Cricetulus griseus: one gene and its partners. The protein of the gene in region 1 purifies or fractionates together with the protein of each later gene. This does not show direct contact. Links are inferred from orthologs where the notes say so. Each region holds a gene or a part of one and is shown on either strand. Other genes may lie near its edges.

What was found.
Region 2: the proteins of Ruvbl2 (region 1) and Epc2 purify together in Homo sapiens (co-immunoprecipitation; 4 studies listed by BioGRID and IntAct, counting the BioPlex papers as one, with this or other methods). This does not show direct contact. The link is inferred for Cricetulus griseus from reciprocal best matches to the Homo sapiens genes RUVBL2 and EPC2.
Region 3: the proteins of Ruvbl2 (region 1) and Shq1 purify together in Homo sapiens (affinity purification with mass spectrometry; 4 studies listed by BioGRID and IntAct, with this or other methods). This does not show direct contact. The link is inferred for Cricetulus griseus from reciprocal best matches to the Homo sapiens genes RUVBL2 and SHQ1.
Region 4: the proteins of Ruvbl2 (region 1) and Eapp purify together in Homo sapiens (affinity purification with mass spectrometry; 3 studies listed by BioGRID and IntAct, with this or other methods). This does not show direct contact. The link is inferred for Cricetulus griseus from reciprocal best matches to the Homo sapiens genes RUVBL2 and EAPP.
Region 5: the proteins of Ruvbl2 (region 1) and Prpf8 purify together in Homo sapiens (affinity purification with mass spectrometry; 3 studies listed by BioGRID and IntAct, with this or other methods). This does not show direct contact. The link is inferred for Cricetulus griseus from reciprocal best matches to the Homo sapiens genes RUVBL2 and PRPF8.

Annotation. Positions count from the first base shown.
Region 1 is NC_048599.1:154,326,593-154,332,015, forward strand, and holds the end of Ruvbl2 (ruvB-like 2), read right to left. Parts: intron 4,662-5,423; coding exon 4,555-4,661; intron 4,345-4,554; coding exon 4,251-4,344; intron 4,161-4,250; coding exon 4,037-4,160; intron 3,687-4,036; coding exon 3,592-3,686; intron 3,508-3,591; coding exon 3,389-3,507; intron 1,763-3,388; coding exon 1,643-1,762; intron 1,420-1,642; coding exon 1,290-1,419; intron 1,113-1,289; coding exon 998-1,112; intron 906-997; coding exon 880-905; 3' UTR 793-879; downstream 1-792. Other genes in the region: Lhb (lutropin subunit beta precursor), read left to right, coding at 74-241, 429-671. UniProt on the Homo sapiens protein: Possesses single-stranded DNA-stimulated ATPase and ATP-dependent DNA helicase (5' to 3') activity; hexamerization is thought to be critical for ATP hydrolysis and adjacent subunits in the ring-like structure contribute to the ATPase activity.
Region 2 is NC_048599.1:124,848,157-124,854,199, reverse strand, and holds the start of Epc2 (enhancer of polycomb homolog 2), read left to right. Parts: upstream 1-2,377; 5' UTR 2,378-2,677; coding exon 2,678-2,830; intron 2,831-6,043. UniProt on the Homo sapiens protein: May play a role in transcription or DNA repair.
Region 3 is NC_048601.1:43,280,167-43,286,225, forward strand, and holds the start of Shq1 (protein SHQ1 homolog), read left to right. Parts: upstream 1-2,393; 5' UTR 2,394-2,487; coding exon 2,488-2,630; intron 2,631-3,955; coding exon 3,956-4,020; intron 4,021-6,059. UniProt on the Homo sapiens protein: Required for the quantitative accumulation of H/ACA ribonucleoproteins (RNPs), including telomerase, probably through the stabilization of DKC1, from the time of its synthesis until its association with NOP10, NHP2, and NAF1 at the nascent H/ACA RNA.
Region 4 is NC_048598.1:147,605,997-147,612,033, forward strand, and holds the start of Eapp (E2F-associated phosphoprotein), read left to right. Parts: upstream 1-2,371; 5' UTR 2,372-2,456; coding exon 2,457-2,530; intron 2,531-5,200; coding exon 5,201-5,382; intron 5,383-6,037. UniProt on the Homo sapiens protein: May play an important role in the fine-tuning of both major E2F1 activities, the regulation of the cell-cycle and the induction of apoptosis. Promotes S-phase entry, and inhibits p14(ARP) expression.
Region 5 is NC_048600.1:88,934,132-88,940,277, forward strand, and holds the start of Prpf8 (pre-mRNA-processing-splicing factor 8), read left to right. Parts: upstream 1-2,480; 5' UTR 2,481-2,742; coding exon 2,743-2,842; intron 2,843-3,331; coding exon 3,332-3,500; intron 3,501-4,536; coding exon 4,537-4,701; intron 4,702-4,817; coding exon 4,818-5,036; intron 5,037-5,147; coding exon 5,148-5,360; intron 5,361-5,689; coding exon 5,690-5,815; intron 5,816-5,908; coding exon 5,909-6,014; intron 6,015-6,146. UniProt on the Homo sapiens protein: Plays a role in pre-mRNA splicing as core component of precatalytic, catalytic and postcatalytic spliceosomal complexes, both of the predominant U2-type spliceosome and the minor U12-type spliceosome.

The sequences.
Region 1 (5,423 bases):
ATTTATATTATACCCTGGTCCAGAGTCTGGGAGGGAAAACCCAGAGCAAGACTGAGGCACTGACTATGTCCAGGGGCTGTTGCTATGGCTGCTGCTGAGCCCCAGTGTGGTGTGGGCTTCCAGGGCCCCCCTACGGCCACTGTGCCGGCCTGTCAACGCAACCCTGGCTGCAGAGAATGAAGTCTGCCCAGTCTGCATCACCTTCACCACCAGCATCTGTGCCGGCTACTGTCCTAGTATGGTGAGCTCACCAAATGGGCTGGGACCTCACTTGTGACACAAAGTACTGTCACTTCAGCTAGACCCAAGACAGGAGGTGGCAGTGGGGTCAAAAGGGATGGTACCTGGGCAGGGGTCATAGCCACTGTGGGGTTTGGAGGGTCAGGTGGACAGGAGAACTCATAATTGCTTATCTCCCTGGGCTCCAGGTCCGAGTATTGCCGGCTGCCCTGCCTCCTGTGCCCCAGCCCGTGTGCACATACCGTGAGCTACACTTCGCATCTGTCCGCCTCCCTGGCTGCCCACCTGGGGTGGACCCCATGGTCTCCTTCCCTGTGGCCCTCAGCTGCCGTTGTGGACCCTGCCGTCTCAGTAGCTCTGACTGTGGGGGTCCCAGGGCTCAACCATTGGCCTGTGACCTCCCCCACCTCCCTGGCCTCCTCTTCCTGTGAGGCCCACCCCCTAAAGCCTCTATCTCAAGGAGCTGGCAGGTGTTCCAACCTTCCCTCCCAATAAAGGCTTTACAAGTGCACCAGGGTGTCTTCTGTGGGCTCTGAGGACACACAGCAGGGCTCCAGCTGTTTACAACCATTTTATACAGAGTCACAGTGTCAGAACTTGTAGAAAACAAGGTAGGAAGGGTTGGGGTGGAGCTTCAGCTCAGGAGGTATCCATTGTTTCGCCTTCTGTGGAGAGAGGAAGCCAGGCATGAGTGAGGTCCAGGGTGCTCCCATGTGGCCCTCTCCCGCAGTGGCAGCAGGCTGGGAGGGATACTCACTGAGCTCGTTGAAGAGGAAGGCATCTTGGTATTCCTTCATGTACTGCGTGGAGCGGGATTCGTCCAGGAAGAGGGAGTATACTCGTTTGATGTCGTCTACCTGCACCTCTGTGCCCTGGGGACAAGTGGGACTCAGCTCATGTCAGCTTAGGGTCATGGGTCTCCCCTCCCCCGCCACTTTTTCCTCTAAGATTGCTGTGGTTCTCAGTCCCCACCCAATACCCATGTGCCATGGTCTGTAGGCTACCCCAGGGTCATCCCTTCAGTCCTCCAGGCTAACTTGCTAGCTTACCTTTCGTTTCCGGCACACCAGACTGGCTGCTGTGATGAGCTGGATGGCATAGCGCAGGGAGGTCTCTAGCCCAATGCGGGTCAGCACTGTGTAGGCGTCCTCACTCATCTCCACATCTTCCTCCTCACAGCTGTGGGCAGGCAGGCCTCAGCCAGACAGAATGGCACATCACCCCACCCATCCCCCCAAAGACACGTGACACATGCCTCAGAACCACATATGAGGGGCTCCCAACCCTACCCCCAGAACTCCCCCACTGGTAGGATGCCATACTGGTCTTCTCAGATGCAGAGGCCTAGGTGAATCCCTCCCATCCAATGTGTGTTCCTATAAAGGGGCCAGGGGTGCCCCACCGGATGCGTAGAATCTGCTTGGTGTCCTTCTCACTGTAGGGTGATGTTGACACAATGAGCAAGCGGTCTAGAAGGTCAATGGGGATGCCATGGGGACTTTGGTAGCTGGTGCCTCGGATCCTGGGGGTCAGGGAAGATTGTTAATGGATGCTCCTGGAAACCATGACAGCCATCAGTCCACTTGGGAGCTGAATAACTAACTATATGAGCACAGTCTCTTATCACCTGTAAGCACAGTCCTCCCCAGTAGTGCCAGTGGCTCTCCTGTACCCTGCTGCACAGGCAATTCTTGGTGGGCAATGGGACCCATAACAATTTGTTCCAGTCATAGGCAGTTTAGCCACAAATAATGATGCTGTTCTCCAGGAAGGTGGCTCAGGACAGCTGCCAGACTCCAAACTAGAGTCCAAGAACTAGTGCACTTCCGGGACTGGGGATTGCAGGTGAACGTCATGTGACAAAGGGATTAGAAGCAGCCACCTCCCTCAGAGACCTGAGGACTGGCTCCTCTGTAGGCACTGGTCTAAAGATGCCTCTCCTCTCACCCTGCCACCTTAAACCTATGGCCTTAGCAAGTCGATGAGTTTTGCTGGCCTAAGTGGGAGCGATGGAATGGGGTGAAGAGCAGAGCAGGTGAGGTTGCCAGGCCACAGCCTGTTGTCTACCCTCTACCTTTCTCATAACCACATATAACTCCAGTTCCAGAGGGTACGGCACACTCTTGTGGCATCTGTGCAGACCACATGCATGTGTGCATATATATAAACACACACAAAAGTGAGATGCTTAAGAACACATACTGTTCTTACAAAGGACCCCAGGTGGGCTCCCAGTACCCACAATGGGTAGCTGCTCATAACTGTTTGTCAATTTACCTGCAGGGAACCTGACATACTGTTCTGGACTCTGCACACACCTGAACTCACACTTACACATTACCCCCCGCCTACATACACATCACTCTTTAAAAAAACGGGGGATGGATGCCATGGAAAAACATGAGACAGGCTAATATGCTTGATGAAGCTCATGACCCACCACCAGCGGGAGTCTGGCACCCTGGGTCCTGTCCCTCCTGGGTCTCCAAACTCCAGCCCTCTTAACCTGGGAACCATTGCTTCAGACCTGTTTTTTGTTTGTTTGTTTGTTTGTTTTTGGGCGGGGGACAGGGTTTCTCTGTGGCTTTGGAGGCTGTCCTGGAACTCTGTAGACCAGGCTGGTCTCCAACTCACAGAGATCCACCTGCCTCTGCCTCCCCAGTGCTGGGACTAAAGGCGTCTGCCACCACCGCGTGGCTTGTTTGTGTTTTTTTTTTTTTTTTTTTTTTTTTTTTTAAAAAAAAAAAGGGTCTCATGTAGCCCAGACTAGCATAGAACTCAAAATCCCCGTTTCAGCCTACATAGTATTAGGACTACTGGTGGAGTGGGTGCCACCATGCCCAGAACTCCACAGCATCTTTAGATCAAAACTACTAGTCTGAGTGACTTGCCTGATCCCAGCAGTTTGTGACATGTCTAACAGATGCCCCTGTGCTCAGCACAGGGTGATTTCCTGGGGTATCTTTGGGTGTCTTGGTCAACAGTTCTGAACGACAAGTGGCCCAGGATTGTGGGGGCAACATACAGGGCAAACTTCAGAAGGAGGTGCTAGGTTAACCAACCATGGCACTCAGTCCACTTATGCTCAGGCTGCCATCAATCCCCTGATCCAGAGGGCCCCTTCACCCAGAAATCTACGGCTGCTCACCGGGTGATGCCTCGGTTGGTGGCCATGATGAGGACTGGGGCCATGTCACTCTCCAGGGCCCGGTTGAGGAAGGAGAAACTCTCAATATCTAGCATGTGGACCTCATCGATGAACAGCACCTAGAAGCCATTGGGGCACAGATCAAGCTCACCTCCACCCCTTTCCCCAGGTCATACCCGCCCACCTTGTGTCTAGCCACTCACCCCAGGGATGATCTCCGCCTTGCCCTCCTCCCTCCACTCAGCCACTTTGGCATTGATCTGTTCTCGGACTTCTGACTTGATCTCCCCTGTGTCTCCTGCCAGACACAGGGCACATCAGTGGAGATGGAGACTGGGTCCAGGATCCGGGGTGGGCAAGGACAGAGAAAGACAAATGCCACAGAGGAGGGCTCTACTGCTACAGCAGCAGGGCTAGGACCTGGAGCACTTTAGAAAGGACGGAAGGCCAGGCCCTGACAAAGGGTGTGAGGGCAATGCAGGGAAGGACAAACTCCAGTGGGAACAGAAGGCAAACAGCAGGTCTGGGAAGAAAGACTGAAGGGGCAGGAAAGCCGGGGGTTTGTTGTGCCAAGGGAGGAGAAAGAAGGGACACACCAGAAGGGGGGTACATCAGTTGCTGGGGACTGGTTGGGGAGGGACAGCTGACCTGAGAAGAGGGCCAGGAAGCCCTGAGTGCGGGAGTTGATGACGTCAATCTCATGGAGGGACACAGTGTGCACCACCTCCTTGCGTTTCTGCAGCTCCCCGTCTGGGCACTGCACAAACTTGGTCTATAGGGTTGAGGGCAGGTGTGAGGGCAGCAAGGGCACAGGCACCTCATGACGTCACAAAAGATATACAAACATCCCAGTGCCAGGTACCTGGGAGCCCATGGCATCATAGTCGCGAGCGCGTGTGAAGGAGCGGCCCAGCTTGGAAATCTTGCCAGTGGCCTTATCAATAGTGATCACGTCCCTGCAGGGGCAACAGCAAAGACTGAAAGGGCTGGGCAGAGGTGGCGCATACCCTTAGTTCCAGCATTCAGGAGGAGGCAGGAGGATCTCTGTGAGTTCAGGGCCAGCTTGGTCTACAAGCAAGTTGTAGGACAGCCAGGCAGAGAGACCCTGTCATGGAAAAAAAAACATTCTCACTACCCCAGCCACCTTCATGGTCCCAGTGGCTCACCCGGCCTGGACCTTGTCCTTGGTCAGAGACTCGATCATCTTGGTGCCCAGGTCATAGATGGTCTCCATCTCCGTAGTCTTGAGGGTCAGTTTGCCCACCTTAGATCCCTGAGGGGACACATCAGGAAACCCTTAGATGACCTCACCCCTTTGTGACCACAGCTTCAAAATTGGTGTGGCATAGGAAGCTTGTGGAAGGGATGGCCTCAGAAGGTGGTGTCATGGGTGCCAAGATGTACCCTCCAATGTCTGCTGATGTGTAACTGTGAAGCCCACAAATGAGTGGAGGAAAGTACCAAATGCTAACCCCCCCCCCCACTTGTTTCTGTATTTAGTTAATACTTATTTATTGTGTATAGTGTTCTGCCTGCATGTATGCCTGCAGGCCAGAAGATGGCATCAGATTGCATTACAGATGGTTGTGAGCCACCACTTGGTTGCTGGGAATTGAACTCAGGACCTCTGGAAGAGCAGCCACTGCTCTTAACAGCAGAGCCATCTCTCTGGCCCCTAACATGGCTCTTTCATACCCAGATGAAAGGCATCCCTCCCCCCACAACTCTGGGGCTGGAAGCCTGCATCCAGCGCTGTACCACCAAGCTACACGGCAAGACTCTCACACTGACTCTAGGCTGACCCTCTGCTACTGAGCTGCACATCCTCAGCCCTATTCTCTCGTTTCATTATCCCTGGGCTCATAAGACCTCCTGCCTCAGCCTCCTGAGCATCTGACCACAGTAAAAAAGTGTTTTTGTTGATTATAAAAAATCAAACAATTGAAACTGGGCCAGCAAAGCAGCTTGGTGGACAGAGTACCTGAAACCAATCTTAATGACCTTGGAACCAGTGTGGTAGAAGAACCTACTCCCA
Region 2 (6,043 bases), about 29 Mb from region 1:
CAAGCCTGATGCCAGGCCAGGAAAGCACTCCAACTCCAACTTGGGATGGAATAGGGTCAGAAGAACTGAAGTTCTTCATGGAGCTGATATAATATGACTTCCTATCAATCAGCAAACACACTAGAGGCCTGCCTCATGTGAGCTGTGGAACTAGGTTTATAGTGATGAAAGAGGAGATGCCATTCTTGCCATTGGCTAGAAGTTCTCACTAATTAACTTTGGAGGCTTTCATTAATTAACTTTGGGTCAGAAGCTTTTGAACATTGGATGGTCAATAAACCAAAGAGCTTGGATACTAAAGTATGCCACTGTGAGAATAGAGTTTTGGACTCAGGATAGATCCAGATTTAAATCCAGCTCTGAAATCCACTAGTGGTATTAGAACTTGACAAGTTACCTGTCTGAGTCTCAGTTTCCTTATTAGTAAAAATTACAGTATTTCTCCCTATGAGGAGTATGTACCCATAAGAATTAAGTGGATTCAACTTCTTGAAACCACACACACACACATACACCGTTCACACTTTCTGAGTGTAACATTAAGCAGAAACGCTACAAGAAAGCTATCCTTTCTGAGCCTGAGAAGGATCAGGCATTCAGATAAAAAGGTCTGGGTGACTCATTTTTTTCAACCACTGTTGCCCCTTGCCTTTCAGGTCTGAACTCAGTAATGACCCACCCCCAATCTGAGAACTTCTTGCTCTTCCTTACAAGATTGGATTGGAACTACTCCAGAGGGTAGCACGAAGAGCAGGGCATGCCTACAAGCATGAGAACGGTTTTGCTTACAAGAAGCATGTCACAGTGTTTTCATTGTTCCCAATAACAGTGGTTGTAAAACACAAGCCCACTGAACTATGCTCCAAAGTGTTGATGCCTGGTCAGATTATTTAGATGTTACTAGGAAGTTTATCTTCAACCATACTACCTTCAAAGGGAAAGTTGGAGACAAAGGGGAAACAGAGAAGGGAAAAGGGTAGGGAGAAAAATAGAAAATAAGTGGGTGGCAATGAAGATAGTTGTGCTTTATCAAAAAATAGGAGAAATTAGTTTTTACAGTTAGATTTTAGCAAACCATCTACCCTTTTCTGAGCGAGGTAGGGATTTTGTCAATAATTACAAAATGGTAAAATTGTTGCACTTTGTGGGAATTTTCTGAGAAACCTGTAATGGTTAAAGACAAAGAAAACTAGGCAACAAAGAGGTTTGTGTCAACAGTAGCTGTATCTAATTGAGTCAATTTGATTCTTCCTTTGGCAGAGATACTGCTCTACTGCTTCTGGCCAAAACTATGTCGCCTTTCTCTGACAGGTCACAGCAACTGCCCGTAGATGTCATTTGGTGATTAACTTTGCATTACTCTCTCGTGTCATCTTGTATCGTTTTCTTCAAGTAGCCAAGCATTTGTCTATATGTTTTTGGACTATAATCTTTTCAGATGCTCTTTTCTTCAAGTATTTACGACTCTTACTGCTAATTATTCAACAGTTGTAAAGCCGTAACATGCAAGTTAATTGATTCAGGAACTTTATTAAACTCTTCGAGTTGCCACAGCAACCAGTATTTTTTTTTTTAACATACGTATTTGCTTGGGCAAAATATTTCAAATCGAACCTTTAAGAACTGGCTTTTTTTTTTTTTTTTAAGTCAAGAGAACTACCTACCATCCACTAAATAACTAGGGAAGTTTGGATGACAGGTGCAAGTCCGCTTGTTGCGCCCAGCAGTCTCAAACTAGGAGCCCTCACGGCTACCACAAGCATCCTGCCGGTGCAGGCGGTGCAGGCGGGAGTGCCTCACGTTGGGGCGCTCTTTCGGACCGGGGCTGCCCGATTTTTCAGGGCGCGAGACGCAGCAGGGCTGTGACTCTCGGCGTGGGCAGACGCCACGGACTTTGCGTACCTCCCCGGGATGCGCAAACCCGGGGCGCGAACCAGGCAACAGGCGCTCCGGAGATCAGAGCTTTCTAAGCGCAGGCTCGAGTGGCGACCGGTCGCCCGGGTGGCCGACCTCCTGCCCCCTGGGGCGGGCGGTCCTGAGCGCCGCGCCTCCCCGAGGGAGCCCTGCGCGCGGAACGACTCGGCGGCGGAGGCAGAGGCAGAGGCAGAGGCAGAGGAGGCGTCTGCTCTGGCGCCCGGGCGAGCGCACCTGGCACCTGCTGCCCCGCCGGCGTCCCGCCGAGCGCCCGGCACACAGGCACCCGGGCACCCGGACTTAGCTCGCTGTCGCCGGCTGGCTAGCCGCGCCGAGCCGCGCCGCGCCGCGCCGCGGAGCGGAGAGAGTGGGTGGGCAGGCAGGGGAGGGGAAGGGAGAGGAAGGAGGGAGGGAGGGAGGGAGAGGGCGACGCGCGTCCCCGCGGCGGGGGCGCGCTCTCGCGCGGGCTGCCGGGATCGCTCGCCGCCGCTGTGGTAATGTCCGCCATGTTGGCCATGGCGCAGGGAGCGGATCGGGCGGGCGAGCGGCGGATCTAGAGTGTGGAAGCGGCCGCGGGCGGCGGGGGGCTGTTTTTGGGCGGGGTGGGCGCCCATGCGGGGCCGGGGGCAGTGCGGAGGAGGAGGAGGGGCGGGCCGGCCGCGCTGCACTGAGGAAGGAGGTGGAGGAGGCGGCGGGAGTGCTCCCCCCCTCCCCGCCCGCCCCGCCGCCGCCGCCCGGGCTGTTCCTGTAAGGCGGGGAGACAATGAGTAAACTCTCCTTCCGAGCGCGGGCGCTGGACGCCGCCAAACCGCTGCCCATCTACCGCGGCAAGGACATGCCTGATCTCAACGACTGCGTCTCCATCAACCGGGCCGTGCCCCAGATGCCCACCGGGATGGAGAAGGAGGAGGAATCGGTAGGGACTCGAGTGTTTATTACCCCCCCTTCCCTCCTCCCCCCTCCCCTTTGTCAGCCGGGCCTCGCCATTCACAGAGCGCTCTACGCTCGCTGGAGGGCGCCGCTGCCGCTGCGCGCTCGGGACCCTACGCCGGCGGAGTAGCGTAAACCTGTCGGCCGGCGCAGCGCCCGCCCGCGGCCGCCATGTTGTTGCGTCCCAGTGTTGTGATTAGCTCTCGGCGCCGCTTACGCTGCCGTAAGGGGGCCTTGCCGTAAGCAGCGGCCGGGAATGGCGCAGGGATGCGCCGGGCCGCACTTGGCGTACGGCCTCTGTTTACCTTGTAATAGACGTTTCCCCGGCGCGGGCTTGATTAATTGAGCGGTGTTGCGGGGTGGGGGTGGAGGTCCTTTGGCTAGGCGATCTTTTCGTGACACTTTAAGATCCTTGCGTGCATTCGAGTGCCTTTGAGATGATGCAGGAAAAGTAAAACTCAACAAACACCTTCGTGCTAGCTGGGTGATGGTTTGAGTTAGCAGGGTGACGGTGTGCGCTGCCCGCCCGAGGAGGTGCGGCGGGACGAGGCGGTGCAGCCCTGCTCCGGGGCAGCGACTCCCGAGCGGGACCCCGCGTTAGCGAGCCCCCTGCACCGCGCGCGGATTTAGCCTGCCGGGCTGGCCCTGCTCGGTTGCACGGCGTTAGGAAGAAGCCCGAGTGCTAGGAACCAGGCCCGCGCTTCCCAGCGCACCGTCCCGGGGAGGTAGCATGCGAGATGGCCATTTCCAAGTTGAAAGACTCAGTGCGTCCACATTGACATTAGTATTTTTGACCGCATAGTAACATTTTGGCAAAAATGCTATTTCCCTCTCTCCAGGGGTTAAATTTTACCTAAGACTGAATTTCCCCCGACTTGACGGTGTTTACGACTCTGGAGTGTTGTTACTTGCATGCGAAGTTCATAGTAACTGCACCCTGAAGAATTTCTTCAATGAACCTTCAGTCCCGCCTTATTGTCAACCTCGGGTGTGTGTGGATTGGTTCCCGTGCTTCTGTGACTGTCAAAAGAAAGCTGGAGGTTTCTGCGATTGGTTTTCTCTTTTGACTATTAATAGTGCAGGAAATGCATTTAAGCCTTTGATTGGCTGCTTGAATTCTGACCTCATTGTGTTGGTGCTTTGACTTAATCACATTCTCTTTGGTGTTTGATTACCTGATTTAACATTTTCAGTAGAAGATAAAATCGGGCCTCTTTTTAAACCTTCAATTAAAAAAAAAAAAAGCCTAGCTTTTATGCCTAAGATTTAGTGCTTAGTCGTGTTTGAGAAATTGGCTTACATAGTCATTGACTCAATTTTGAACTACCTTCTGACAGTGTCTTGATAAGGTAATTTAGAAGTTGTCTGCTTTTGGTAGCATGGTGTTGTCTTTGCTGGACACATCTTTCTCTTAACCATTTCTTTTGGACGTGTGTTTTTACATTGCTTTCTTCTCTTCCTTATGTTTGTTGAGGTTTAACAGTTGTCATCCTGTGTTTCAGTCCCAGTAGTGTTCCTCATGGTGCTTGGTCTAAAACTCTGTAATTTATTTTTACTGTAAACCCCAAAAAAGAACTTATTAGTTATTTGGCTATTTCTTCATGAATATTGTATAGTAGTAGTTATTGTTTTTAATATTGCTGTTTGTGGAATATTTAGATCCCAGATACCGTGTCAAGAATTCTAGGTATATTTAATATAAAATTTTTTTAAAAATTTACTTTTCTGAGACATAAATTCAGGAAGATTTACCCGTTTACAATAAAGATTTAATGAGGTTTCACAAATGTATACAACCAAGAATAAGAAACATTTCCAACTTCAGAAAATGTTCTTGTCCTCTGTAGCTAATCCCTGGACTGTAATTCCAGGAGACCATCTACTTGCTTTCACTATAGATTGGCATTGCATTTGGAAGTTTTGTGTCAATGGAGGATAAGTATGTGTGTATGGCTTCTTTTGCTCAGCATGATACTATTAATTATTGTCTCTTGTTTTATACACCATGTATTCCTTTTACTGCTGAATAATATTATAGTTAACATATACTCCATATGTACTTGTTACTAGACATTTGAGTTTTCCCTAGTTTATGATTATCTCTTAATCTTAGTGATGACAGCCTTGTGAGTCACTACAGTTTTCTGTTTTATAGATAACCTAAAAGGTCTCACTGATGGTAATGGTCAGGAATTCAAACCCTTGCTCTTGATGTTGAAAAGTTTACTGCTATAATCCCCATTCTTTCATATTTAGGATTGTTATAGAACCCAGAATTATCATGGTATTATATTTATTAGGATTTTTGTAAATAATTTATTTTTATAATTCTGAGAACTTTCAGAAATTATACTGACTTGCTTTGACTATTAAGTTACTAAGAAGTTTGGGTGTTTTTTTTTTTTTTAAATCACTTAACTCTGGTTTGGCTTTCTTTTGCAGTGTTGAGGATAGAGCTATGGGCTCTGTACTCTTATCACTGAGCTGTATCCTCTGCTCTGCTTTGCTTTTCTTTCAGATTCTCTTTTTTTATTAGTAGTAACTTGATTTTGCTTCTTTTTCTATTGACACCATTATATTTGACTGCTTGTTGCCTTAAGCATATAAGAATAAATCCTAGTTTATACTTTAGATTCTTCTCTTGTTAGAATATAATCTTTATAATGACTTTACTGATTTTGTTCCTTAATATATTCCAAGTGCCTGGCACCTAGTATATGTGCTTGGTAAATGTTTCTTGAATGCGTCTTTTCAGTATTGAGACCTGTTTTTCTATGCATGTTCACTCTTGTGCATTCTCTGTGTGAGCACATATACATACATACATACATACATACATACATACATAAATGCACACACACACACACACACACACACACACACACTCTTATAATGCAACAGAAAACAGGAGGTTGTAGAAGCCCTTTTTGTTGCTTTACTTTGATGCTGCACAAAACCAAATATACTAATTTTGTTTTTTTCTCTTAATTTTGAGGCCATTTTTGATGCCCAGTTGTTTTTTTGAACACATAGGTATGACTGAAGTATTATTATTTTTTGTCCTGTGATAATTAACTATTTCATAACTATGAGGCAGATTTCTGTGAGTGAGATCTCCTCACATGCCTGAGCCGAACTCTACATGAATCATGATTCAGCATACACACACACACACACACACACACACACACACACACAC
Region 3 (6,059 bases), on another chromosome or scaffold:
CAGGCAGGCCTGGCCTTGGAGTATGAAACCAAGATGTAAGTGGTAATATTTGAGGTTTTAGCTCTTTAGTGGTTTGGAGCTAGGACCTTGGAATGAGACTAACCTTGGTTCCAATTCCCATTAAGCCTCTGACAAATTGTGTGACCCTGTGCAAGTGAACAGAATATAAATGGCTTCTTCATAGAGCTCCAGGAAGGAAAAGAAGAAATCAGAACAAGGTTACTGTAGCTCTACTACATAGCCAGGAATCCAGCTAATGTGGAGGCCTGCTAACTTTTTTTTTCTGAGTCCCAATTAAATGTTAAGATTGCTTCCTTTGAATCATCAAAAGCCAGATGTCAAGAAGGCTTTTGTGGGTATCTGGGGATCTTTACTGTCACAGGAAATGACTTTAAATCCTTCTCACTGATATTTACTGTTTTTCTTCTTATTAGTGTTGTCTTGAGACACAGTTTCACTGTGTAGCCCAGAGTGCTAGTTAGTTTTTTATTAACTTGGTACAAGCCGGGGTCATCTGGGAAGAGGGAACCTCAATTAAGAAAATGTCTATTGTATTGGCCTGAGGCAAATCTATGGGGGCATTTTCTTGGTTACTGATTGACAAGGGAAGGCCAAGCCTTCTTGGGTCTTCTTGGGTGGTGCTACTCCAGGGCAAGTGGTCCTGGGTTACATAAAAGAGCAAACTGAACAGATAAGAAAGCAGTGGTCCTCCATGGTCTCCTTTTCTTCTTCTTCTTCTTCTTCTTCTTCTTCTTCTTCTTCTTCTTCTTCTTCTTCTTCTTCTTCTTCTTCTTCTTTTCTTCTTCTTTGGTCTCTGCTTCTATTCCTGCTCTAACTCATACCTTGACTTCACTGGGTGATGCACTGGAAGGAAACAAACAAACAAACCCTTTTCTTCCCAAGTAGTTTTTGGGCATGGTTTTTATCACAATAAAAAGCAAAGTAGAGCACCTAGTCTGGCCTGGAACTCATTATATGGATGACCCTAGTCTAAAAGTTGTACAATCCTCCTGCCTCTGCTTCTTGTGTGTGAGGAGATTACAGGTGCAAGCCACTGAGCCCAGCTATTCCACTGACATTCACAGACAGGGAATTCATACTTGTCTCCAAGTTACTATTTTTAAGATGAAACACCATGACCAAAGCAAACTGAGGAGGAAAGGATTTATTTGACTTATTTTTACAGCTGTCTATCATTGAAGGAAATCAGGACAGCAACTCAAACAGGACAGAAACCTGAAGGGAGTTGATGCAGAGGTCATGGAGGAGAGCTGCTTACTGGCTTGCTCCTCATGGCTTTCTCAGCCTGCTTTTTAATAGAACCCAGGCCCACTAGCCCAGAGATGGCACCACCCACAAAGGGCTGGACTTCGGCCATCAATCACCAAGAAAATACCCTACACATTTGCCTGATTTTATAGAGGCATTTTCTCAAGTACGGTTTCTTCCTCTCAAATGTCTTTAGCTTGTGTCAAGTTGACATAGAACTAGCCAGTGCAATGCTAGATATGTACTGTGCTAGTTCCTCGAAGTAAAAGGAATGAGAGGGAAGGATGCCTAAGAGAATACATGAGGGGAGTGGGAGACACGTGGGAAAGGCGTTGGGAGAGTGAGGATCACAGAGGAACTAAAAAGAATACTTGAGTAAAGAAAAAAGACAAAAGACAGCTTCTGACGCATGTAAGAAAAGAGAAAAATGCAACAAATAAAAAGGAAGGACAATTCTTGAGAGTGGGCACTGACTAGGCGTCTGGATTCTGATCCTGTTAAACCTCTCTCAGCCCACTTTTCCTTGGGGTTTGTAGTGTGGGTTAGATTAGAAGACTGATGCTCTGTTAATGAGAAAACTATTCAAAGAAGGGTTACTGAAGGGGAGAGGAAGCTGAGGGAGGGGGCCAGCAGTGAGAACTGAAGGAAACCTCAGAGACAGGGACAATGTAAGTAGCTGTGGCTACTGCAGAACCTGCTCCCACTTGCTGAGTGGAAGGGTACAGCGCTCCTCCTGGATAACTTTATGCCATCCTAGCAGCATCTGAGGAGGCTGGACTAATATTATTCTCCTTTTTATGGTAGAGGTTTTCCTAAGGTCGTACAATTGGGAATTCAAATACACCTTGTTTACTTGAAAAAACCGAGGCAATCAAAAGAATTTCTAAGCCTCTCCATAGGCTCTCAGTGAGTCTAAAGTGATCTGGTGTTCCGGTTAGTCCGCAAATTTCCGGGTTAGATTTCCAGTTCTTCCAAAAATTCCCTCAGTCGAAGCCTGGCTCCAGGGCATCCTTTCCCTTTCTAGTCAGTTTGAAAACTCCGCCTAGCCAGGGAAAGCGTCCCGTCTCCAAGGAGACTGGCGCAGGAGAGGACTTCCGGCCTCACGCGCACCCACTTCCGCCTCGGGCCGGAAGCGCTGAAGCCGGCGGCGTGGGTCTGGTGCTCCGGGACCTGGCGCGTGCGTAGCGGGGCCCGTGGTGGCTCCCGGAGCGCGCGGCGATGCTGACCCCCGCGTTCGAGCTGAGCCAGGACAGCGAGTTCCTCACGGTCGCCATCCGCATCCCGCACGCGCGTGCCTCCGAGTTCGACGTGTACTTTGAGGGGGTGGACTTCAAGTTCTACGCCAAGCCGTACTTTCTGAGGCGAGTTCCCGCCGCCCGCGCTCGGCGTTTATTCAGCACCCCGCGCGGGCTCTTGAGTCAGTCCGTGCCTCGTGGACGCACTCGCGGCTCTCTCGCTGCTGCCTCCTCGGCGGCTTCTTCCTGGCGCGCGGTCTACCTGCCACAGAGCACGGGGCCACCCACTCAGTGTCTGTCCTGTCACCCTCGTCCTTCTGGCTTGTGCTGTTCTTTCGCCTCACGCCCGCGCCTCTCCCCTGCGTGGTGACTTCCCCGCGTGGGTCGGTGTTTTGACCCACGCCGGCATGCTTTCCGTGTCCGCCTCTTGGAGGACCGCCCTCTGATTCCTGCAGTTAGTTCTCAGGTTCCTTTTGCATCTGATTAGTCAGTCCATGAGAGGCGAGCAGTGCTTAGCACTTTTCCGTCTGTGTTTTTCTCCCCGTGGAACCAAAACAGTAGTGGCAGCTGACACTGGGGCCACCTTTCGTGTGGTAGGTAGGCAGTATCTTAAGCGCTCGCGTCTTATTTTTGATAGCCATACTTTGAGTTAGGCAGTACTGTTAGCCCCCTTGTGCAGTGGACTCTGTGAGCCTTCCTAAACTTGCTCATCCGTTCGTGGCCCTCCACTTTTCAACTGAGCCCTCCCCTGCTGTCAAGCTGGTTTCTTCACTGCTTTAAGGGAACCACATTAGATGTCAATTAGCATGTCAATTTGAAAATCCAGTAGGTCACCCCCCTACTGTTAGACATCACCCCAGCTCCAGGATTACACGAATGTTCCACTACAGCTTATGTTTTTATTTGGGTTCAGGGAATCAAACTCAAGTCCTCCTGCTTGTATGGCAAGTGCCTTACTGACTGAGCCATAGGCCCAGTCGTGGTTCGGGTTTTGTGGATTCCTTATGTTACTTATACCTCATAGTAGGAGTCCTAAAAGATACCATGAGGACTTTTAGATGTCTTGAAGATATTTCCAAGACTCCTCAGTGGGTATCTGAAACCATGGATAGTAATGAACCCTGTATAAACTATTTCCCCTATACCTACAAACCTTAGATGTCGCTTTATTAATAAATTAAGTTAAAACAAAGCCGAACAAACATAACTTCATTTGATAACTAAGGTTTATAGTGAGGCCCCCCAACATCTGATTATTGATAGCTAAAGTATTAAATGGAAAGTCGTGATATCTTTGATTTTTACTTTCTTAGTTGAAGAAGGAATCTAAGTTATTTAGCTTGTAAAATGTGAACGAATTGCGGAGAAGTTGCCATTCAAATGGTTGATAGATTTTGATGGCTAAAAATGAACTGTGATTGGTGATGGATTACCTTGTGTTTAATCTGCAGATTAACACTTCCTGGAAGGATTGTAGAAAATGGAAGTGAACAGGGAACCTATGATGCAGATAAAGGTATGGCCTTTGGGGTTTTGGACAAAGTTTTCTATATTTTTTATGTGTGTGTTTGTTTGTGTTGCTAAAATTCCTTCCCTAAGAGACAAGTTCTGCCTCTCCTAAGGTCTCATTTGACAAACTAGGTGTGATTCCATCAAAGTTCCCTGGGGGAACCATTGAGTATTTTAGGTTTACAGAGCAGTGCACTGGTAAGGGGCTATGGGCAGGAGCATAGGTGATTCTGAAGTAGCCACGGTGGAAGGTCTGCCTGGCTTCCCCAGCACTGCATAGGTTGAATTCCCTCCCCTCATCCTATACTCTATCCCCTCCTCCATGACCCACATGCAGTTGGGACAGAATTTTATCTATCACACTGGTTGGGGATGGAGAGTGGCTGAATAATCAGGTGAGGGTCCCATGACCCTCTGACCCTCTCCTTCTGTGAGACAAGGTAAAATATTCCACAGGCTCAGCTGTGATAACCTTTTGTGGGCAGAGCCTCCCGTAGCTGAAGATGGGAGTAGTTTGACTCCGAGATACTATACAACAGCATATGTAGCTGTAGGTGGGTGGGTGTGTTGGGAGGGGCTTGTGTGTGTATGGGGGTTCATGTGTGTGCATGTGCAAATGGAAGCCAAAGGATAACCTCTGATGTCATCTGGAGGAATGCTTTTTAGATAGGGTTTCTTAGTTGCTTGTTGCTTATCAGGCTAGAAAGGCTGGGCAGTGAGCCTCATGAATACCCATCTCTGTCACCCCAGCTCCAGGATTACACGCATAGCTTATGTTTTTATTTGGGTTCAGGGAATCAAACTCAGGTCCTCCTGCTTGTATGGCAAGTGCCTTACTGACTAAGCCATAGGCCCAGTGGTGGTTAGGGTTTTGTGGATTCCTTATGTTACTTATACCTCATAGTAGTAGTCCTAAAAGATACCATGGGGACTTTTAGATGTCTAACAGTTATTGTATGATGCATAACTCTTTCTTTAATGTTTAGCGCCTGTTATCTGGCTTTTGCGCAGTTAGCAGTTTTCTGTCTTTTAAAGTATTTTTCAATACTCTTTAAAGTGAATTTAGATCAAATGTTCTAGTTTCATTTTCTGGAATTGTTTCTACTTTTGGCACATGTGCAAAAGTAAACATCAACATGAAATGATTGATTTTAAAGTAGGGATGATTTATGAGCTTTTGAATGGAATTTTTCTTTGACAGTTTTCAAAGTTAAAATTTAATAACAGGTAGATGTGAAATTATCCATGGAAGAAATGTAAAGAGTAATTGAATTTTCTTTTCATGATTGGTAAGTCCCCATTTTAGCTAGCCCCAAAACCGGTTTATTTTACTCTTCTACAAGCTCTTGTCTTTTCCTTTGTAAGTGGGTTTGGAGTAAGAGCAGCATGTGGGGCCAGCAAGGTAGCTCAGTGGGTAAAGGCGCTTGTCTAGTAAACCTGTCAACATGAGTTTGGTTTCCAGAACCATGTAAAGGAAAAGGAGAAAGCTGCCTTCCCAAAGCTGTGCTCTGACTGCCACACATAATCATAGCACAAATGTGCCCCACATGCACCCACAATAATAATAATTTCTTAAATTTAAAGAGCTTGTGTACACTCATAATTTATTCAGTAACAAGTGACCAGTGAACTAGGGTAAAGGAGGGAAACAAGACTAAAGAAACTTATGATCAGATTCTCACTCATAATGCAGTATAACTGATGTGAAAATGATATATAAGGAAGCTGCCATCGTAGCTTATGGGCCTACCTTTAATTGCTAATAACTTACATATAATAATGAAATAATTAAAATGAAATTATCTCTTCATTGCTGGAGAAATAGCTCAGCTGCTAATCACATATATGTCCCATTTGGAGGGGATGTAAGTTTCTGGTTTGCAGTACACAGGCTTATGATTACCTGTAACTCCAGCTCCAGGGAATCTGACACCCTCTTGTGGCTTTCGTAGGCACTTGTACTCACATGTATTAGAAACAAAACAAACAAAACAAAAAAACCTTAAAAAAATAAAAAGCGTAAAGTTCTTAGAGTTGAGTTGTATA
Region 4 (6,037 bases), on another chromosome or scaffold:
TAATAATAATAATAATAATAATAATAATAATAATAATAATAATAAAGAGGGAAAAAAAGGAAAAAACCTCCACCAAATTCTTAGGGCTGGACCTCGTGGTGGTGCACGCCTTTAATCACCAGCTCTTGAGAGGTAGAGGTAGGTAGATCTTTGTGAGTTGAAGGTTGGCCTGGTTTATAATAGTGAGTTCCAGGAAGAGAAGAAAAGAAGAAAAGGGGAAAAAGGAAAAAAGAAAAAGATACCTCAGCAGGCGAGGGCCCTTGCCACTGAAGCTGATTGAGTTCCAGCTCAGAACTCAGGGTTGGAATGAGCTGTCCTCTGCAACAAGTTCTCTCCTCCCCATGGGAACATTTAAAAATGTATATTGATTTTTTTGAGACTTGCTCTCATTGTATTGCCCAGGGTAGACTGGAACTCATTATATAGAACAGGCTGTCCTCTAACTTACAGAAATCTGCCTTGCTTCTGCTTCCTGAATGCTGAGTTAAAAGTTGTGCTTCCTCATGCATATAAAAAATATGCATGGACATATTTGTGGTATGTACCATGTTCACAAGTGCGTTAGAGGTTGTAGAGTTTTTTGTTTTTTTAACTGAAGCAGGGACTCTTGCTATGAACCAGAGCTCACTGATTCAGTCTATAGTTAGCTTCTCTGAGGTGTCCCCTTTCTCTGCTTCTGGAACTGGAGTTTCAGGCAGATGAACTACCTCCACTCAGCGCTGGAAATGGAACTGAGCTAGCTCTTCAGCTCCCCTGCGCAGGTTTTGTACGTACATGTAAATACAGCTTCTGTGAGGTGACGTGTGCGACCGCTGCATCACCTCCAGTAGACAGCATTTCACAGCTCTACTCCCATTCACATGCTGCCAGTTCTTAAATTCTTATGAGTTGTGCGGTTGGTGTAGACCATTCATCTGAACTCATTTATTATCAGCGTTTTGACTGGTTGTGGATCCCAGCAGCGACCTCTACGTCAATCAACGTTCGTGCTGCATAAAACCGCTTCTCTGGCCAGTTGAGAAAAACCACAAACCAGATATAAATAAGTACAAGTATAAGGCAACTTGACAGCATAACCTTTTTACACCAGCCTACAGGCCTACAGGTACCGACAGGCCTAATGAAATTCACTGGGGTTACAACAAATAAACTCCAAACTAAAGAGCAGTTTAATAAAAGATTTTAGAGTTTCCAGCTCTATAATACCATCTAGCAGTAAAAAGAAATATCAAGAAAAAAAAACAGCAGTAACTAGACAAGCACACTCTTCTAGCTTAAGTTTTTTCCCTTACACAACTCAAAAGTCTAACGTTGTACAGTAAAACCAGGGGAGAGCGCGAACGCAGTCCCCCACTACCACAAATTATGCAGTCGAGTTTCCCGCATTTGGGGAAATCGCAGGGGTCAGCACATCCGGAGTGCAATGGATAAGCCTCGCCCTGGGAAAACCACCTTCGTGATCATGGTATCTCCCCTGCCAGGTAAGTATGAGTTGCAGCCGCCCCGCGCGCGCTCTCCCTCATTATAGACTTACTCTCTACTTACGGTCTGTTTTTTACTGATCCTCCTCTCCCTCACATTCCCTTGGTCTAATAGTGAACCCTAAAACCACCCTGTACATAAGTGAATATTATCCATTAACAGTATGGGAAGCCTTCTTGCGGGGAACCTGCATCCTCTGCGTGCATGTCATTTACATACACCACGCCTTTGTTGTGACGTTGCAGGAATGCGTGCTAAGGCCCCGCCTACTAAGGGTGGCGGGGCGAGGCTTGTTATTGATTGAGGGTCAAGTCTGGAAACAAAAGGGGCGGTGAAAACCTGTCTTTGAGGCTCAGGCTCTGGGCAAAAAAGCAGCTCTAGCTCATCGTTTCCGCCAGCGGAAGGAACTCATCCTCACAGTTCAGTTCTAGGAGATTCACCCCTGTAATGTTTAACTGCCGATAGAAAATCTTTTTACTTTTGCATAGTATTTTTCTAGGTAGGTCTACCACATATCACTTATTTGCATACAAACCACTAAGCCTAATAAAAACCTGGGGAGAAAGGCCAAGATAACAACTTGGAAGAAAGAAATCAGAGTGCACGGTGGCGCACAATTGTAATCTCAGGGCTCCGCAGGTCAAGGCAGGCGGAGCAAAGTCAGCCTGGGCTGTGTAGCGAGTTCTAGGTCAGACTGGGCCAGTGAGACCATCTCAGAGGCTAAATAAAGCGACAGCAACAACAAAAATCCATAAAAAGGCAACTGCTGTTTTCAGCGGCAAAGAAAACGCAGAGCCAAGCTGATCCCCGACCCTCCTCCGGTGCCCGTGCCCTGGGACGCCCTGCGCAGGCGCGCACAGGAAGGGCTCGCATGACCAGCGGAAGTGGAGAGTCGGGACGCTTTAGGGGAGGTACCCGCGGAGTACACAGACACCCGGACCTGCAGGGGACCGCGTAGGCCTCCCTAGGCCGCCATGAACCGGCTGCAGGATGATTACGATCCCTACGCCGTGGAAGAGCCGAGCGACGAGGAGCCGGCTCTGAGCAGGTGGGCCGCTGCCCCGCGGTGTCCGCCCGGCCCTGGCCCGAGGCCGTCGTGCTCGCCGAGCCTGGGTACACTGTTCCCGCTTCACTTGTAGGAGCCTCAGGGTGCCTGGTGGGGCTGCTCAGTCTCTGGGGAACCGGGATGGACAGCAGTGCGGGAAGAGGGATGTTCCAGAATCCCGGGGGGCCCCCAAGCGTAAATCTCAGCTGGAACCCTGCTCCTTAGCGTTTGCTAGCACTGTGACTGAAGGCAAGTCAGTTCTCCTCAGCTTCGCATCTGTAAATGGAAATACAAGTGTGGGACTCGTGAGGTCCACAGGCCTCAGTACTCATCTGGAAGACTGTCAAATAGAAATAACGGAGCAGTGAACGGGGAATTTCTTTTGGCTTATGATAAGAGATACAAAATACACAATTCTTGTCTTGGTCTGTGGTACTTTTGGAAAGGGAGTATTTATCCTACCTGAGGGAACTTGGAATGCTTTTACTTATATGTAAAACATGTTTTTTTTCCCCGTTTTTAAAAACCTTGCCGGATATTAAACCCAGGGAATTTTTTAAATCTATCTGTTTCGGTTTTTTAATTTTAGTTTTGAGACAGGGCCTCAATGTGTAGCTCTGCTTGGCCTGGAACTTGCTCTATAGACCAAGTTCATTTTGAACTCAAGAGACCCACTTGCCTCTCTGCTTCCAAGTGCTAGGGTTAAAGTGCACCCCCCTGACTGGCTTGTTTACTCCTTTATTAACCTAGATTCTAGAGTAGTGGTTCTCAACCTTCCTGATGCTGGGGCCCCTTAATACAGTTCATGCTGTGCTGACCTCAACCATAAAATTACTTCATTGCTTGGCAGGTGTTCGGTGTTTCGTGGGTTGGTTAAAGGAAGAGGATCACTCCTAGATGAATTTTAGGTTTTCTGGCAGCTGGGAGGAACAGTTTCTGTGAACTGAACTCCAAACATTTGTGCAAAGTTGTATTTGATTGTTACACAAAAGGTGTTTTTTTTTGTTTGTTTTTTTTGTTTTTTGTTTTTTTTTTGTTAAAACAAGTTCCTTATACCAAAGTCCCTAATATAGTCATATGTCCATGTCCTTCTGAAGAAAAGCATCACACATGTGCCACTTTAGTCCTTATTGTTCACTGTATTATTGGGTATTGCAGTACCCAGTAATCCAAATTATCCAGGTGTGCCAGGACAGTCTTGTGACCAAAGTCATGCAAAGACTGTAAAGCTCTTTCAGAAAAACAACTCTATAGATAACAGCAAACAATCACTGTTTTTTACAGTGATTTCTTCAAGGTCTCAGTACTTCTAGAAAGCAGCTATTATGAAGTTTATCTTTAATACAGTGAAAAACAACTGTTTCATTCTAATGTTTACCTTAGATACAATGATTCTACTAATTTTTCTTGCTATATTTCTACTTTATAAATAATCTTGCTACTGTTATGAATCATACTATAAATATCTGTATTCAGGGTATCTGATATGTGACTCACGAGGAAATTGAGAACCATTGTAGAAAGGGCATGTGGGTGCTGGGAGGGGAGCTAGATATGAACATGCACACAGTAAGTCTGTTACAAGCTAAACCATCTATTTAACTGCTATATGTTGATATATTAACTGTATATTAATTGTATCTCTCTCTCTCTCTCTCTCTCTCTCTCTATATATATATATATATATATATATATCCTAAATAAAACTCTCAGTTTTGTGAAGTAAGTTTTTTTCAGTTGATAGAATTATGAATTGGTACAAATATTGAAAATCAATGTGATAATACAAGAAGTCAGAAAGAGGGACAGAAAAGATGGCTCAGGGGTTAAGAGCACTGGCTGTTCTTCCAGAGGACCCGGGTTCAATTCCCAGCACCTACAGAGCTGCTCACAACCATCTAACTGTAGCTTCAGTTCTACGGGATCCAGTGCTCTTTTCTGGCCTCTATGGGCACCAGGCAACACAATTGATGCACAGATACACATACAAACAGAACACCCCCACCCCCACACACAAACGAAAGAAAGAAAGAAGCCAGACAGTGGTGGGACACACCTTTAATCCAAGCACTCAGGAGGCAGAGGCAGGTGGATCTCTGGGTTCAAGGCCAGCTTGGTTCTGCAGAGTGAGTTGTCGGACTACACAGAGAAATCCTGTCTCACAAAACCAAAACAAACAAGCAAACAAAAAGTAACCAACCAAACAAATAAAAAACCCAGAAACCCGCCCCCTGAAAATCGGAAGGATTAGCTGATCTATTGTTTATTAATGATTATTGCTGCATGTAATGTGATAGGTATATCAGATGTAAATTTGTCAAATTTACATTTGCTATTAAAATGATAGAAGTTTTAAGTGATTTTATTTTGTTTTGTGATGCTATATTTTTAACCTAGGACCTTGCACATTTTATGTGAGTATTGTACCACTGAGCCACAGCCTAGCCGTGATTTTAATATTCAGGGCTAGAGAGATGGCTCAGTGGTTAAGAGCACTAGCCACTCTTCCAGAGAGGTCCTGAGTTCAATTCCCATTTGTAGTGGGATCTGATGCCCTCTTCTAGCCTAAAGGCATACATGGAGATAGAGCACTCCTGTACATACTCCTGTAATAAATAAATTAAAAACAAAGAAAAATACTTTAGTATTCATATTCCCTGTCTGTTATGTTAGTTCTGAAGATGAAGTGGATGTGCTGTTACATGGAACTCCTGACCAAAAACGAAAACTCATCCGGGAATGTCTTACTGGAGAAAGTGAATCATCTAGTGAAGATGAATTTGAAAAAGAAATGGAAGCTGAATTGAACTCTACCATAAAGACAATGGAGGATAAGCTGTCCTCCATGGGGACAGGTAAACTGTGGGCTCAGTTCTCACAAGACACCCTGTAAGGGAGTGAATGAGTGTATATATGTGTGTGTGTGTGTGTGTGTGTGTGTGTGTGTGTGTGAATGACGGGTAGTGATGGGAGGTAAACCTGGGTCTTGTGTTTGTTAGGTAAATGTTCTACCACCGACTTCTAGCCCCACCTCCCTTAAAATTTGAGACAGGGTCTGGTTAGTTATTCAGTCTGGCCTTGAACTCACTGTAGCCTATGTGATCCTTTTGCCTCGATTCTTGAGTGTGAACAGGCCTGATTAATACAATCCTTACTAAATGAAGAAATGAATGTACTTGACAATCTGCCCGAGTTTTCCACTGACTAACACGTGTCATGTGTTATTGGAAAGATATTATTTAATAACAAATACATGTATTATTTCCTTTTGTAGTTTTTAACACATGTGGGCATAGTGGCCCACACCTTTACCCCCAGCATTTGGGGGCAGAGAGAGGCGGATCTTAGAGTTTGAGGCCAGCCTGTCTACAGAGTGAGTTCTAGAACAGCGAGGGCTACACAGAGAAGCCCCGTCTCAAAAAAACCTAAAGAAAAACAAGGCATACGAAAAATTGTAAGGTTTAATGGTATGTCACTACAGATTCCTGTCCGTTTGTAGTGACTAATAAG
Region 5 (6,146 bases), on another chromosome or scaffold:
GCTACCTGGAATTACTTTGTTTCTGCTCACTTGCTTAGGTGGTAAGTCTATACTAATTGCCCCTTCCTTGCAATACTATAAAATGCTCTAATAAATATCTCCAGTCCTTTTTTTTTTTTTTTTTGAGACAGGGTTTCTTTGTGTAGCTTTGTAGACCTCAAACTCACAGAGATCTGCCTGCCTCTGCCTCCCGAGTGCTGGGATCAAAGGAATGGGCCACTGCCTCGCAGCTTACGTCTCCAGTTTTGCTCCTATGTTTTCTTCTAAGATTTTATTTTTTATCCTTATAGGTCCATGATTCACACTGAATTAATTTTTGTGTATAGCATAAATTAAAATGATCATTGCCAGATAGAGGAAGGAGAAATAAGAGAAGATACAACCAATGAGATTCCCCTAAGACATTTTAATTTTTCTAGGCTAGGGATGATTTTTATTTTATTTTAGTTTTGATACAGTCTCTCTGTGTAGTCCTGGCTGTCCTGGAACTCATTATGTAGACTAGGTTGATCTTGAACTCACAGCGATTCACTTGTTACTGTCAACCCAGTGCTTGGATTACTACCATGACTGACAGGATTTTTATTTTTTATTTTATATTGTTTGCAATACCAGGATAAGTGCCTCACTTATAATAAGTAAGCATTAAGCTAAAAAAACCCTTGCCTGGCCCAGCAGTGTGGCACATGCCTTTAATACCAGCATTCGGGAGGCAGAGGCAGGCAGATCTCTATGAGTTAGAGGCCAGCCTGGTCTACAAGAGCTAGTTCCAGGACAGGTTGCAAAGCTACACAGAGAAACCCTGTCTCAAAAGACCAAATAAATAAATACATGAATAAAAAAATCCTTGCCCTGAAGGCAAGGAGGCATGTTCTACTTACCAGTGCCCATCACACTGTATTACAAGCTTTACAAGAATCTTTAGTGGGTTGTGAGAGATGGCTTGTTTGTTAAAAACATTTGTTGCAGGATGGAGAGAGGCTCAGAGGTTAAGAGCACTGCCTGTTCTTCCAGAGGTCCTGAGTTCAATTCCCAGCAACTGTATGGTGGCTCACAACCATCTATAATGTGATCTGATGCTTTCTTCTGGCATGTAAGCATGTATGCAGACAGAACACTGTATACATAATACATAAATATTATAAATAAATATTGAAAAAAAATTGTTGCTTTTGCAGGGGACCTAGGTTCCCATCACCCAAGTTGTGGATCAGAACCATCTCCAGTTCCAGGGAATCTAATGTCTTCTTTTAAGCTTTATGTGCACCAGGCATGTATGTGGTGCATAGACACATATGGAGGCAAAACACTTATCCATATACCAAAAAAAAAAAAAAGAAAGAAAGAAAAAAGAAAGAAAGAGGGAAAAAAAAGGAAAGAATCTTTGATTTCTTTTTCTTTTTCTTTTTCTTTTTTTTGAGGTATAGTCTCATGTAGCAAAGTCTGGACTTAGACTCTACATAGCTGAGGATAACTTTTATTTGTTTTTGATTTTTGTTTATTTTATGTATATGGGTATTTTGGTTGCATTTATTTATTTATTTATTTATTTTTGAGACAGTGTTTCCCTTTGTAGCTTTGGACCTGTCCTGGAACTAGCTCTTGTAGAACAGGATGGTCTTGAACTCACAGAGATCTGTCTGCCTTTGCCTCCTGAGTGCTGGGACTAAAGGCGTGCTCCATCACTTCCCGGCTGGTTGAATCTATTTTTGTGTACCTCGTGTGTGCACTATCCACAGAGGCCAGAAAAGGGTATCAGATCCTCTAGAATCAGAAGTTATGAGCTAACATGTGAATGCTGGGAATTGAACTTGGACCTCCAGAAGAACAGCCAACGATCTTAATCACCCATCCATCTTTCCAACCCTAGACCTGGTGTTTCTGATTCTCCTGCCTTCACCCACAGGATGCTATGTAGTGGAGCCCCATCGGTCTATGTAGTGCTAGAGATGGAATGAACCAAGGGTCTCCTGGTACATTCCCACTCCAGCAGATCTTGCATTCTTCTCAGCCTTCCGGCTGTCTGCCTTGGGCTTCCAAGAGTTGTTTGATTCCTTGGTACATAGCAGGCACTCTAACGCTAACGTAAAGAATGCATGAACAGTAGAACAAAGGATTCATTGAGTTGGAGCTAGTATTACCTATCGGCTCTGAATTCATCAAAATAAATACAGGAAAAAGGTGCATCGTAGGCAAACTTCTTAAAATTGTAATGGCTTTGGCCTTTGAGAGAACAACATCAATAGCCAACTAAACATCTTTTCTATTGGAGTCCTCCTAAATAGATCCGACTGGCGGAAGGCGGAGCGCGAGCCTATCTGACCACACCCCTCGCGATGAAATCGACTTTTAGACCCGCCCCCTAGACGCGGGCTGCAATGTCCATTGGAGTGCGCGCTAATCCATCAGAGCATCTCGGCGTCTATTGGGTGAGTTTCTGAACCCTGTTGCGCACTTCCTGGAGTTGGGAACGCGGAGCGGACGTCGTCTTTCCGCCATTGCTCTGCGGGCCGAGCCGCTACCTGAGTGAGGGGGTACAGGTGGGTGGCGAGCGTCCGAGGCTGGGCTGCAGACGGTCGGGTGGGCCGAGCAGCCTGAGGAGCTGCGTCAGGCCCAGGCCACGAGCGCTCAGCCCGGCTAGCGTGCGGGCCAGGTGGCTCCGGACGCGTTCCATTTGCCTCTTGTGGCCCCGGGCCTAGCGGCGTAGTTTTGGCCTCCCTCTCCTTCCCAGATTCTTCCGGCATGGCCGGAGTGTTTCCTTACCGAGGGCCGGGTAACCCGGTTCCCGGCCCCCTAGCCCCGCTGCCGGACTACATGTCAGAGGAGAAGCTGCAGGAAAAAGGTAAGAGGCGAGTGGGAACGGCGCGCGCGGGCTGGAACGTGCAGGCGGGTTTCACTTCATCTCTCTGTAGGCAGGTCCGCAACCTTGTTAGCCGTATTTAATTTCTTAAAATTTAATCAAATCCTTGAAAGATCGGAAGCACCTGCTATTTGCAGGAGCTAATTGTGTGTGTGTGTGTGTGTGTGTGTGTGTGTGTGTGTGTGTGTGTATGTATGTATGTATGTATGTATGTATAGCATAGCATAACAATGGAGACAAACCCGTCCTCTTTAGGGGATTTTCATTACAAGGAAGGAATTAGACAGCATCCCCTCCTAAACATCTATAGCAAAAATGTCAGATAATTTGGGGGAGTAAAATGGCAAGACACTTGGCAGGGTTTATTCCTCATTCCACACAGAATGCTGTGTGTGGGGGTTACCCTAGGGGCAAGAGTGGGTATAATGAGGGTAAGATCCTGCAGCCCTTTAAGCTGAGGTGCCTTTATAGCTCGAAAATGGCAGCAGTTACAAGCCAAGCGCTATGCAGAGAAGCGGAAATTTGGGTTTGTGGATGCTCAGAAGGAAGACATGCCCCCAGAACATGTCAGGAAGATCATTCGAGACCATGGAGACATGACCAACAGGAAGTTCCGCCATGACAAAAGGGTCTATTTGGGGTAAGCAACATCCCGGGATAATTTCATATGGAGTTTCTATAGACCAGGATAGCCTGGCCTGGAACCTACGGATGGTTTCCATGCCTCTGCCTCCCAATTACTGGGATTAAAGGCAAGTGCCACCAGGCTCAGCATGGAACATGGCTCTTGAGCACACAGAGTGGTGATTGTAAGAGTAAAGCAGGGACCATTGGAATTCCATGATAATATTCATGTCTTCTACCTATGCCATTGTTTTGATTTGCCCTGCTAATGTCATTATAAAATGTCATTGTTGATTTGTTTGACACTCTGAGACACTATATGCACTCTGTTTGCTTTTAATTTTTCAGTCATCAGAATTTGGGGCTTTAGGGTGTTTCATTCCTGGAATCTTTTTTTTTTTTTTTGGTTTTTCGAGACAGGGTTTCTCTGTGTAGCTTTGGAGCCTATCCTGGCACTCACTCTGGAGACCAGGCTGGCCTCGAACTCACAGAGATCCACCTGCCTCTGCCTCTCAAGTGCTGGGATTAAAGGTGTGTGCCACCAACACCTGGTCAAAAATAATTTCTTAACCAGCCATGGTATTATATGCCTCTACACTACTATAATCTTTGGGTTACAGAGACAGGAGGATACAGGCTTGAGGCCAGCTTGGACTACTCCATGAGATGCTCTGTTAAAAACATCAACAAAAGCTAGATGTGGTGGCACAGGCCTATAATCCCTGCACATGGGAGACAGGTGAATCTCGTGTTCTACACAAGTGAGTTCCAGGTCATCTAGGGTTCTATAGTGAGACCCGTCTCAAACAACAACAAACATTATTATTACTATCATTATTGAATTTTGCTGTTGGTGCTCAGATATAGCAATAAACAGACAGTATTGATCCTCTCCTTTTAAGAGCATACAGTTTAGTGGCATCATAGGTGAGAGACAGATGGCTTAAGGCAGCATTTTCTGTGGAACATGTGATGACTTCATGGCATGCCATCAAGGGACAGATAACAGAATACTTACTCATTTCTAATGGTTTCTCGTCCTAATGTTACAGAGCCCTCAAGTACATGCCTCATGCAGTTCTCAAGCTCCTGGAGAACATGCCCATGCCTTGGGAGCAGATTCGGGATGTGCCTGTTCTGTACCACATCACTGGAGCCATTTCCTTTGTCAATGAGATTCCCTGGGTCATTGAGCCAGTTTACATCTCCCAGTGGGGGTGAGAAGGGCTGGAATGTGGTGGGTGGTAATGGCTGGTGTGCTTAGGGATGGGGGTAGTGGCAGTGGCAGCTGAGGATCCAGCATGATATGATGGTCTTGCCTTTTGCCTTCTAGGTCAATGTGGATCATGATGCGTCGAGAAAAAAGAGACAGGAGGCATTTCAAGAGGATGCGTTTCCCTCCGTTCGATGATGAGGAACCTCCCCTAGATTATGCTGACAACATCTTAGATGTTGAGCCTCTGGAAGCCATTCAGCTAGAGCTGGACCCTGAGGAGGATGCCCCTGTGTTGGATTGGTTCTATGACCACCAGCCATTGAGAGACAGTAGGAAGTGAGTGGAACTAATTCCCGTGAGAGTTCTGGAAAGTAGCTGTGGGAAGGCAGTAGGTTAAGTGGCTTGCCTCAATGCGTACTTGATATAGGCCTTCCTTCTTTTCCCTAGGTATGTTAATGGTTCCACTTACCAACGCTGGCAGTTCACATTGCCTATGATGTCCACTCTCTATCGATTGGCCAATCAGCTTCTGACTGACTTGGTGGATGACAACTACTTCTATCTGTTTGACCTGAAGGCCTTCTTTACCTCTAAGGCACTCAATATGGCCATTCCTGGAGGACCCAAATTTGAACCTCTTGTTCGAGATATCAACCTACAGTAAGTTGGGGAGAGTATCAATGTTAGGCACTTTAGGTTTTTTTTTAGTTTGTTTGTTTTGGGGGGTTTGTTTGTTTGTTTGTTGGTTTTTCAAGACAGGGTTTCTCTGTGTAGCTTTGGGGCTTGTCCTGGAACTCACTCTAGACCAGACTGGCCTTGAACTTACAGAGATCTGCCTGCCTCTGCCTCCCGAGTGCTGGAATTAAAGGCACGCGCCCATCACCACCCTGCCAATTTTAGGCACTTTGTATGTATTAAAATCTAATTTTTATCCTTAAGATTCTTGTCTAGCAATGGAGCTAGACTACTTATCCGGTTTCCTGTTCTAGGGATGAAGACTGGAATGAATTCAATGATATTAATAAGATCATCATCCGTCAGCCTATTCGTACTGAATACAAGATTGCTTTTCCTTACCTGTATAACAACCTTCCACACCATGTCCACCTGACCTGGTAAGACACCTGGAATATAGCAATTCGACAGGAGAAAACCCATATAAATTTGGTCCAGAGCAGAGCTGTGATTGACTCTTGCTTTCCTTGTAGGTACCACACTCCTAATGTTGTATTCATCAAGACTGAGGATCCTGATTTGCCAGCTTTCTACTTTGATCCTCTGATCAACCCAATCTCTCATAGACACTCAGTCAAGGTAAGATGAAATCACATGCGTTATGGGGTGTGAGCTTGGGGTCTGATGCATGCTAGGCAAGATTTCTGCTTCTCAGCAGCCTCTACCCCGCTTTTTTATTTTTGAACATATAGTACAGGCTGACACAAATTG